3 linked regions of the Oryza sativa Japonica Group genome follow. The protein of the gene in region 3 interacts with the protein of the main gene of each other region in a pairwise test. Links are inferred from orthologs where the notes say so. Each region holds a gene or a part of one and is shown on either strand. Other genes may lie near its edges. The genes, in order: GRF1-interacting factor 1, protein LATERAL ORGAN BOUNDARIES and transcription factor PCF5.

Region 1 (3,752 bases), on a different chromosome or scaffold from region 3:
AATAATTTATTTAACAGGAGGGTGCTAGGTATAGTATTAACCTGCCCATGAGTTAACACTAATTCAACCATCATTGTGGAATCACCTGTAACACCTAATGGAATATTTCACCAAAGAACATTGTACTACTTGATTAGTTGATTTATCCAGAATACTCCTAGTAGATTCTAGTTTCTTGAACCCTGACTGAACAAAAGCTAGACATTCCTTTTGCAGTTAACAAAGCCTAAAGACTATATTACCAAACAAGACATCTCTGATAGAGCAAAAGCTACAGAAAGAACAGCAACTTCAGAGTTTTCACAGCACTCCATGATAACAGGGAGATCAAGATCAAACTCACCGAGCGCACTCTTCCACCTTCCCATTGTTCTGGTTGTCAAGGATGGCCAGGATCAGCTGCTTGTTCTCATCCAGATACTGCACAGTTTCAAGGTTGAATCTTTGCATGTTAATACGTCATTACATTTCAAAGTCTTTATCATCAATACTAACAAAAGATAGTACTGCATGCATGCCTTGAATATATTGCAGTTCATTGCACAAGATTTGGTTGGTACTATCAGTTTATCACCAATGACATATGCATGAATATACTCCTAGCACCAATGAAGTACTAGACTGGAGATTGGCGTCCTGATTCTAGAGCAGAACCACACAAGATCTGATTGCCAGCCTATCATCTCAAACTGAGGACCAATCATGAACTGGCACGATAGCATGCAAGCAGGTTATCAAAGAATAGGCCAAGCAGACCGGGCCCCTGGTTGTTATATCGGCCTTTAGCCATAAAGCTCACATCTTTTAGGGGTCTAACAGTCAAAACTGCAACCTGTGGCATTCTAGTACAGCACAAGCCAACCTACATTCCCAGTTTCTCACCAACATGAACAAGGACCAGATCTTGTATGGTATGTCCTTCTGAAGAAAAAAGAAATATTTTTTAAATCAAAGATTGCAAATTGGATTTCGGATATGGAAAGGAGATATTTATGTAAATCTCACAGCATTTCTTGCTCCCTTTTGTTGGACGATTGCACATGATACATTTACATGGAAAGGGGGCCAAGATTTATTGGTGGTCTGCAATGGCAGATGCAGGGAACAGGTCTGGCATGTTTACTAGTTGCCAAATACGAGTGGTGGGGGAGACACGACCATTGGCACAAGTCACCAACCAAAACAAGCTAAAAATAGGATTTAGATGGAGAGGGGGATAAAGGATATGTAAAAAATCACCGCATCATGTGACTATGTGAGCAGCAAGAGCAAAAGAAAAGAAAAAAAAAGGACCAAATGGACAGCAACAGTTTGAACTGCAGAGGAAATCAGATGTGAGGGACCATGTTTGAAGACATGAGAATACAGGGAGAAGACTAGAGGACGAGAAGATAAATCAACATCATGAATATAAGAGGATCATGCCCTTTCTATTTGACCAAACAAAATAAAGAAAAAAAAGGCTGCCCTAGAACTATTTTTTAAATATGATGGAAAAAACGTGTTGTTCGACAAATCATGTTGGGAATTAACGGAGAAAGCGAAATAGATCAGATGAACAAGATGTAAGAACAGAGAAAAAAAAAAGAAGGGAAACTTTAGTTCATTTCAGATTTTTTTTTGCCAGATGTTTCAATGGATACAAAAGAGGATCAACAACCACGAGCAAACAAGAAAGATAGCATGAGCATAAACGCATAATGAAATAGAAAAGGGGAACACAAGAAAAGATAAAACTTCTTTTTCAGATACTCACAGACCAACCAACGAATCAAGAACGAAGAAAAAAAGAGTTTGATACAAATGATTCAAGAGAAAAAAAAAGAAAGGAAAGAAGAGAGATCACGGAACCAAAAACAAAAAGCAAGAAATGAAAAACAAGAGAGAGACAAACAGACGATAAAATGGGAGAGATTTTGGGGAGAGGGGATCATGACCTGCTGAATGAGATCAGTGGTGACGGTGGTAGGGGAAGCATATCCCCCCATCATGCCCTGGTTCATCTGCATCAGGTGTTGCTGCTGCATTCCAATCAAAAACCTTTATACCCTTCCCCCCTCCTCTACTCCTCACAGCTGCAGCAAACTCCTTCCTTTTCTTTTCTTCCCTCTGCTTCTTCCTCTCTGTCTCTCCACTTCCTCTCCCTCTGCCGGTGAAAAGAGAGAGAGAGGAGCAGGAGAGGTTTCTTTCTGGTTTCTTGGGGGGTTTTGGGCGATGATGAGAGGAGGAGGGTTTTGGTTGGCCGTCTCCTCCTTTCGCTTTGCTCGTTGGTTTTGGAGTGGAGTTCTTTAAAAAGAGGGTGAACCAGTTGCAGAGATTTTCTCTTCAGTTTTTTTTTCTTCAGTTTTGGTGACAAAGTTTAATTTAGTGGATCGTTTTTACCATGCAACTTTTTACCACACCTACCATAAAAGCTCAGTAACTTTCTATACTTGGACACCTGCACATTAAAGAATTGGGACCACCACCACACATAGGGGAAAAAAGATAAAATTAATAAAGCCTGATTCGTATAGGCAGGTTGTCAAAAAAAAATAAAACAAAATTATGGCTGCACGCTCGAAGAGTATTTATGTCTGGGTTGATATGTCATGTTCAGGGTTTAACAATGGTTGTCAACACGGCAATTTTCAAGTTCAGGGACTGCATGATCTGATGAGCTTGTGGGCAGGATAGATTTTTGGAGTACTAAAACAACAGCAGATTCTGTGTCGAAGAACTCGTCGGTCACGAGTACAGAGAAGAATTCCAACAGGAGACGGCGTGGCTTGTTTGTACAGATGTGCTATATATGTAGCCTCCATACGACACATGGAAATACAAAATACAACTGGGAAAAAGAAAAGAAGAACGTTAATTCCATTCTAATCAGAGTTGTTGATGGTGGTAAACACCCAAAGTTATCGCGAAATGGATCCTCCTTATAGAGTCTTGCCTGCAATTCATCAATTTTTTTCCTCGCTGGCTCTCTCCAGAGATAAACTTTTTTTTGAGAGAGAAAATCTCCAGAGATAAACTGGAGTTACATTCTTTAAGATCGTATAAATTGGGCCACATCGATTTCATTTTTATCTTGTTGCAGTTACTTGACCAGGATAAGGATTAACAATTACTTTAACTTTACATTAATAAGCTAATCATGGTCAATATAACTTATACCCTACCGCAAAAGTAGTAGGGCCAAAATTGGCTAATATTTTGGCACTGAAAAAAAAAGGTAAGGTGCAGAAGCAAAACACCCCTAAAAGTTATATTTAACCATTAGACTTAATTTCATAGAGACAACTGCATTTTCAAACGGAGCAAAACTGTTAAAGCATTCACATTACTTTGAAGTGATGAGTAGCTTAGCTCGGACTCGCCATGTCGAAGCTTTGCCTGTAGCTCGGCTACATCCATGTCCCCATGAGACTTTTTCATTGCTTTGAAGAGAGCATGGTTGCCTTTCAAGTTTCAACAGGGCTGAGGCAACTCTTGCTCAGTAGCCAGGACATGGATGGCAGCTGTGTTAGGCTGTGTTCGGAAGTACGTGATACCAACCCACACAGTATACACGGAAAACGGAGCGGTTCATTAGTGCGTGAATTATTAAATATTTGTTTTTTTCAAAAATAGATCAATAATATGATTTTTTAAGTAACTTTCGTATAGAAACTTTTTTTAAAAAAAAAAACACCGTTTAGCAATTTGAAAAGCGTGCACACGAAATACGAGGGAGAGGGTAGTACCAATGAAGGCTCGATATTTGTTGG
Region 2 (3,689 bases), about 2.7 Mb from region 3:
TATGGTTCTCCATGATGACTACTGGTGAAGCATGCTATATCTTTGGCTTAGATTTTGTCATTTATAGGTGCGTAGATGAAGCTTATGCACAATTAGCATCATCATGATCTACATACCATCGCAACATGTAATTAGTACTACTTGCCGCAAAGCTCTAAAAGCCAAAAAGTTGCTAAAAGTACACATAACCCAGTCTGGCCAACAATATCACAGAGAACAATTGACAGTTCTCATATTGTAATGCGTCCATACTCTTCCCAAAAAAGTGAGGAAGAACAAAAAAGAACTACTGTGAATAATATGGCGTACTCCAGTAGGAGTATATCTATAGTTAACTTCTGGACATGTTTAATAATTGAAACTATATATACACACACATACTACTAGCTAAAGCAGTAATCAAGCATACTGTGTACCAACAGTGTTTGCAGCAGTACAGCACCCTACAACTATATAGTTTGGTCAATTCAACATATGTACGCGCAAAAGAAAAGTCAGGTCAATTTGAGTAGTCAACAGCAAGCATATAAAAGTTTCTCAAGAAAGAAAGATCACAGTCTCCGAGAAGGCAACAACAGACAAGTATTTCTCTATATATAGAGATTCACATCACTAAGCTGTCTTACCGTAACAGCAACCCCTAAGAGAAGCAGCCTCCACCATTAGGATATATAGCTCTACTATTCATGTAGGCATGTAGCTTCACTGCTTCAGCTACCTTCGTCTCCACATGTAAATGGCGCCGCATGACACATAAATGCAAGGAATGAAAAGAAAAAAGAAGGCTGAATTGATTATGGCGTGTTATCACACAAGATTTTTGATACCATCTCACCTTGCATGCACTACATATATACCGGATGTCATGTTATCATATGATTTGATGAATAAGATGCACCGTAAGAAACCATAATAAGATCTTCCTAAGATCCCCCCAAAGAACACGATCTCGTGTGCAAGCCACTTTCCTAGTACACCAACATTAATTCGATCCTGAAATCCACAGCCCATCAAATCGTTGGACCTAAGGGAGGGGGCCGAAGAGCCATACTGAGCTAAGCTAGCTAGGGCTAGCTAGTCCCTACATTTTGTGTCTGGATGCATGCATGGGACTATGGGAGCAGCCTTTTCCCAAGTTCACGACCTAGCATGACTGTCCTTTTGAGCTTCACCCCCTTGCAACTTGCATCCAAGTGCTAAAACTCGCAATCGTCACCAAATAAATCACAAATCTTTCAGTGGAACTAGCAGTTAGTACTACAGTTGGTAGCCGCCCAAAGATCATAGGCATGCATGTTTAGCTCTCTATGAGGCTCCACTATATGCATATGAACTTTTCTTTTTGAGAAAACCAAATTAGAGCAGGAGATTTCAGTCATTCTCATTCAGTATATACAGGTAGTGTTTAGATCCAGGGGTGTAAAAGTTTTAGCGTGTCACATCAGATATTATATAGAGTGTCGCATGGGGTGTTCGGGCACTAATAAAAAAACTAATTACAGAATCCGTCAGTAAACCACAAGACGAATTTATTAAGCCTAATTAATGTCATTAGCAAATATTTACTGTAACACCACATTGTCAAATCATATAGCAATTAGGCTTAAAAGATTTATCTCGCAAATTAGTCGCAATCTGTACAATTAGTTATTTCTTAGCCTATATTTAATACTTCATGCAGATGTTCAAACGTTAAATGTGACAAGGTGAAAAATTTTAGGATGAGATCTAAACATAATCCAAACTGCTCGAAGTTTAAAAATGATTTCAGCAACAGCCGAAACATTTGGTAGCCTGAGTTTGAAAAGCTCTAGAGTAGTTCATGGTGGTCCATGGGGGCCGGGGTGTGAGTAGCTTAGGTACGTGGGCCATGTCCAATACCTTTGAGAGGTTGAGGTGGTGAGGCAAAGAACAATGGGAGTGAACAGTCCTAGTATGCATATGTGAAAGAAGATATATCTACCTATGGTTGTGGGGGAAATATATTGGGCTGATGGGTCCAGGTAGTACAGATGCAAGGTTACCCCTGCACTGTGGGAGGGCACAGTCCCTTTGAATTCTGGTCACAAGAGGCACGCAGTGGGGTGGGTGGGGGTGCAAGGGTGGAGGGGGTTGTGCACGGGCGTGCATGGAACCGTACTTGTCGATAGAGAATCCTGTCTGTCGTCTGGACAGGCCATGGGGCTACCTCTCTCTAGCTCTATTCTATGGGCATTGTTCACCATGCTGCTTCCTTTCCTTCAAAATTCCTCTCCATCACAAGATATCATATATACAGAGAGTGATTTTGCCAGTGTGGTGATGAATCATGCAGATAATAGTTGTCAAATATAGCATCACTGACCTGCGCCTGCAGGGCCGCACGTTGATTGTCGAAACACAGTTGTGGAGATGCTTTGGTTTGGTTGGGAATAGCTGATCATCCCATGACATGATCATCTGATGCCATCTTGACGATAGAACAGCCTAAGTTGGCTGCATCTGGATTCTGGCCAGTGTGAGCCAGAGCTAATCAATAATCTGCTTCAACAGATATTTTGGGTGACCTATCAGAAGTTTAAGTGGCCCATATATCAGGACTGCTTGATTACTCGCGGGAAAAAAAAAAGAAGAAACAACCCCCTGCTTACATTGAGCCCACCACATCTTTATGTGTCTTAAGGCTGTAGTCAAACTGTTGATCTTCTTATTTGTCAGTTGTCCATATTGCCGGTAAGCACTTGAATTTTTTCCCTTTTTTCCAATGAACAATTCATACCGTGGCAAACGAGCTCCATTCCCTGTTCCTCTTCACTTTTAGAAGAAGAAACCAGGTCACATCCGAGACATTTACCTACAAACTCAATTCATTACACTGATTAAAAAATCCTGCTAGATCATGATCACCATTACACAGTACATAAATTAATTCCCCAACCCTCGATAGCCACACAATAATAAATTATTGCACCTTTCAGTGATCTAGCTATTGGTCTTGGAACCATGTGATTGGTTGCACTTTGGGCCCAGGAGCTATGATTGGCCATGTTATATTTAAGGGATAACACAAATAGATGGTAAAAGGACATGGCCTTGATAATTAGATTGCTTGGCAGAATCTGTTAGCCAGTACATCAACATAGATATCATACTCAAAAAGGGTAGCAAAGCAAATGTTTCTTGAGACATCTAATTGGTTCTTTCATGGAAACATCTCAGCAAAGATGTTTGTAGGTAGCCGCGCGGCTACACTTGCCAGCATATCTGATCACAATATCTAAAGGGAGAGATCCATTAAGATAGGAGAATCTAGATGAAAGCATATAAAGTTTAACAGTTAACACTGCGCTAATCTGCCAAAGGCTCTTCAGTGAGTGGAAGGGGCAAGCGATATATGAACAGCAATAGAACAAGGCAATGCAAGATATTGATTCCGTTTGATTTTTTTTTATTTCATTCGTCCGTACAATAGTTGTGGGCTACATGGAAGCTACCTAGCTACGTGCAAAAGTGACATCCACCTCGCTAGCTCTACACATCTTGGATTTGACATTGTTTATTCCAAATTCACTTTTGAGGAAGAGTTCCAATATTTCTAATAACCTTTTCAGTTCTATCATGGAAGCTAATTCATAACAGCATTTGGTGGGGTACTCAATCATGGGAGCTAATGCATGCATAACCCTCGGTGTGCCGTTTGTGAATGAGGC
Region 3 (3,752 bases):
GATAGGCTCCTCTCCCAATCCATCACCATCCCACTTATCAGTTTTGAGAACAACATCGGTCTAGTAGCAACTGCTCCTGAACCCACAGGAGGAAGCAAAAGCATGTCCATGCATCAGCAACAAAAGAGTAAAAATCAAAACAAAGCAAAGCAAGCTCGAACCTACATCGATCAACTACACCTAGCGCAACGCAACAGCCAACAGACACAGAGGCTTGCTAAGCTAAGCTAAAGCTTGCCATCGTGTTGCTGCATTCTCACAAGCCTAATTCTAAGAAGCTCCGAGTGAATTCTTGAAACAAAAACCAATGACATGCGCAGCAGCAGAAGAGATCGATGGAAAACCAACCAACCAACCAACCGATATGTAGTAGCATCAGTAGTAGTGCACTTGTGCTACCTCCAAACTTTGCTCCTCCCGAATGCAATCGACAATTCCTGCATGTCAAGAACACCAAAACCAGCAGCACAAGATTGATCAGCTAACTAACACGAGAAAAATTCTGAACTAATGCAGGTTAGCCATGAGAATTCTCGGTTTTTTTTTCTCACCGTGATGGAAGTGGAGGAGCTAGCTGATAGTCTGGTACATGGTGTGGTGTTTGCTCATGGTGGATTGGTGGTGGTGAAGTCATCTGCTCGCCACTGCTGCGGTCAGTGGTGAGAAGCCGAGGAGACAGACGACGGCGGCGGCGGCTTGTCGCCATTGCCGCCGCCGCCGCCGTTGTGCTCCTCGTCGCCCTGTATCCTCGCGGGGAGGCGGAAGCCGGAGAAGCCGATGCCGGGAGCGGCAAAACCGATGGCCGCCGACACGGAGGGGCTCAGCCCTCCTTGGTGGTGGCTCATCTGGTTGTCGGCTTCGACGGTCTCCGGCCATCCTCGCTCGGAGGGCTGGTTACTGGACTGAAGGGGTCCCCTCTGGAAGAAGAACTGGCTCTGGTGGCCACCCAGCGCCGCAGCCGCCGCCTGCATATGCGCCGCTTGCTGCGACACGTTGAACAGGTAGGCGGCGCCGCCGCCGCCGCCGGGGTCGGGCACGTTCCACGGCAGCATGCGCTGGTTCTGCGCCTGCTGCTCGGTGGCCCACATGGCTCCGCCGCCGAACGAGTAATTGGCGGCGCCGGAGAAGAGCGCCTGCTGCGTGGTGCCATTGCCGCCGCCGCCGCCGCCGCCATGGCGATGTTGCTGGTGGTGGAACATGGGGTCTGGTAAGGACTGCAGCGACAGCCGGAGCTCCTGGCTCTGGCTGCCGGTGCGGGACAGGAGGTCAGGCGTGTAGCTCTGGAAACCCATGGCCGACGACTGCGCCGCCGTGGTGGACGACGATGCCTCCCCGCCTGCGGTGCCACCCATGGGGAAGAAGGACTTGATCGTGTCGGCTATGGCGTCCGAGTCGAGCGACGGCGGGAGGAAGCTGGTCCCGCCGCTGCCCCCGCCGGCGAAGTCGAAGGCGGTGTGCGCGACGGTGATGGCCTGCGCCTGGTCGTCGGAGTTCTCGGCGGAGTCGGGGTGGGTCGAGGAGGACGGCGGCGCGGCGGCATTGCCCGCGCCTGCGCCGCCGGCAGTGGGCTGCCACGCCGGCAGCACGTCGAGCTTGTCGATGGCGTCCTTGGCGTTCTTGATGAGCCAGTCCACCGCCTTGCTCGGGCGGTCGTAGCCCAGCCGGTCCTGCACGTCGTAGAACTGGATGGCGGTGTGCGCCGACAGCCGCACGCGGCGGTCGCGCGGCCCGCGCGCCGTGCAGACCTTGCTGTGCCGGTCCTTCCGCCCTGTCGACCGCACAATGTGCCCGCCCTGCACCGCCACGATCTCCCCGCCGCCGCCGCCGCCTCCGCCCCTCGACCGTGGAGTTGTCGTCGCGGGGACAATCTCACCTCCACCTCCACGACCCCGAGTGTGGGACGCGGCGGGGGGCTGTGGCTGCGCCGTGAACTGATGCAGGTGGTGGTGGTGGCCGACGCCACCGAAGGAGAGGAGCTGAGGCTGGAAGCCGTGTTGGTGGTGGTGGGAGTGGCCGCCGGCGTCGCCCATGGGCGAGAGAAGGGCATACTCGGCGGAGGAGCCCGACAGCTGCCTCACGGACGCCGGCTGGAGGTGGAAGACGGGAACAGGCGGCGGTTCTTGGTCCTGCTGCACACCCTGGTGGTGGTGGAGCTGGAGAAGCCGGTGGTGGTCGTGCTGCTGCTGCTGCTGCTCATCTGCCTCCTCCTGTCCCCCGCTTCCTCCTCCTCCTACGCCGCCGCCGTCGCCGCCGTGGGTGACCCGGTGGTGGTGGTGCCTCGGATCCAGATCCCCCGCCGCCTTCTTCCCCGCCGCTACTGTTGCTGCTCCAATGCGCGTCCATCCACCTCGCCGGATCCCATAACTAGGTCGACAAGAAACACAAAAACCATCAAAAGAATCAACAAGAAGAAGGCCCCGGAGGAGGAGGAGGCTGCAAGAAGAAGAGGTGGTGGCCAGGGAGGGACTGACCCAGGAGAGGAGTGGGGGACTAAACTAGACGCAATCCCATGGATTGGACATCACATTTTAACAGGGGGGACGGCCAGCCAAAGCTTTTGCTCCTCTCTCACTCTCTTGTTGGGTTTGTGTGGGAAGCTTGGTGAGCAGGAGGCAGAAGGGAGGCAAGAAGACAGGATGATAAGAGTAGGATTTGTGCTTTAGTGAGGAGAGAGAGAGATAGAGATTTTTGCTTCACACTGCTGCTGCTGATGCTGGCTGCTGCTTTGTGTGTGAGTGTGTGTATCAGAAGCAGATGGAGCTTACCTTAGCTTGGCTGGGGCTGCAGGAGGCTGGAGCCCAAGTGATGAAGAGAGGTGGTGATTTGGGAATTGGGAAGGGATGGATGATGCTGGGGGATTGTGGGTTATGCATGCGTGGATGATTAGGACATCTGTTGTATTATTAAAAAACAGTAGACAACGATCGAATCGCGATGAAACTCGAACACACACACGTGTACGTGCCTTTGGGAAAAAAAATAAAAACCGGAGGCACACACCCTAGTCTCCATGGATAAGGAATTAAGCGCATCTCGATAGCTTTATGGTAATATATAGCAATTTTAACTATGTTTATATATACGTTCGTGTATATGTAACCGCTAGTATCTACTCGCACAATTGTGGAGTGATCTACTTAGCCGATTTTTCTTTTTTGTTGTACAGTAGACATGTTTGTCATGACATGAATATCTATGCTCTTCAGAAGCTAACTTGTGGTATTCTTAGAGAGTGCTTGTACTATAATTCTTGTAGTTGGGCAGTTGCATAGGCAAGTAAGATGGCAACTGGAGCTTTTTCAAGGGTATATGCCAATGGTTAATGATTTTCCTTTTTGGAAAGTCGAGAGTTGCAATATTAGTTTCAAATGTGAGACCTTTCCCCTGAGATACTTGTTTATAGATTGATGGTGTGTTTTATTTGTAGCCCCACCTTGCTAAAAGAGGGTTTTATGTGGCGTCATTGTCCAAACTTGCCCCAAGTTTGATCCATTGCATGGAAATAAGATCAAGCTATTTTTAGTTCATTTGATGCCAAAAACATAACGGGTCGAGGGACCGAGATGGTGCCCATAGATTTGTTCAAAAAAGATAGAAGGAAACACCCCTCATTGGCACATCTACATACAGGATAGTGTAAACTTGTACTTCCTCCGTTTCAGGTTATAAGACGTTTTAACTTTAGTCAAAGTCAAACTGTTTTAAGTTTGACCAAATTTATAGAAAAAGGTAGTAACATTTTGAACCAAAGA

Evidence for each region.
Region 1: the proteins of transcription factor PCF5 (region 3) and GRF1-interacting factor 1 interact in binary tests that used the Arabidopsis thaliana proteins (3 or more experiments, as listed by UniProt). The link is inferred for Oryza sativa Japonica Group from reciprocal best matches to the Arabidopsis thaliana genes TCP4 and AN3.
Region 2: the proteins of transcription factor PCF5 (region 3) and protein LATERAL ORGAN BOUNDARIES interact in binary tests that used the Arabidopsis thaliana proteins (3 or more experiments, as listed by UniProt). The link is inferred for Oryza sativa Japonica Group from reciprocal best matches to the Arabidopsis thaliana genes TCP4 and LOB.

What each region holds. Positions count from the first base shown.
Region 1 is NC_089037.1:30,928,885-30,932,636, forward strand, and holds the start of GRF1-interacting factor 1, read right to left. Parts: upstream 2,263-3,752; 5' UTR 2,028-2,262; coding exon 1,938-2,027; intron 421-1,937; coding exon 344-420; intron 1-343. UniProt on the Arabidopsis thaliana protein: Transcription coactivator that plays a role in the regulation of cell expansion in leaf and cotyledons tissues.
Region 2 is NC_089035.1:3,563,946-3,567,634, forward strand, and holds the start of protein LATERAL ORGAN BOUNDARIES, read right to left. Parts: upstream 2,834-3,689; 5' UTR 2,631-2,833; intron 2,547-2,630; 5' UTR 2,345-2,546; intron 1-2,344. UniProt on the Arabidopsis thaliana protein: Not known; ectopic expression of LOB leads to alterations in the size and shape of leaves and floral organs and causes male and female sterility.
Region 3 is NC_089035.1:6,231,377-6,235,128, forward strand, and holds the start of transcription factor PCF5, read right to left. Parts: upstream 2,806-3,752; 5' UTR 2,472-2,805; intron 2,465-2,471; exon of another isoform or gene 2,365-2,464; 5' UTR 2,031-2,364; coding exon 654-2,030; 3' UTR 552-653; intron 438-551; 3' UTR 1-437. UniProt on the Arabidopsis thaliana protein: Transcription factor playing a pivotal role in the control of morphogenesis of shoot organs by negatively regulating the expression of boundary-specific genes such as CUC genes, probably through the induction of miRNA (e.g. miR164).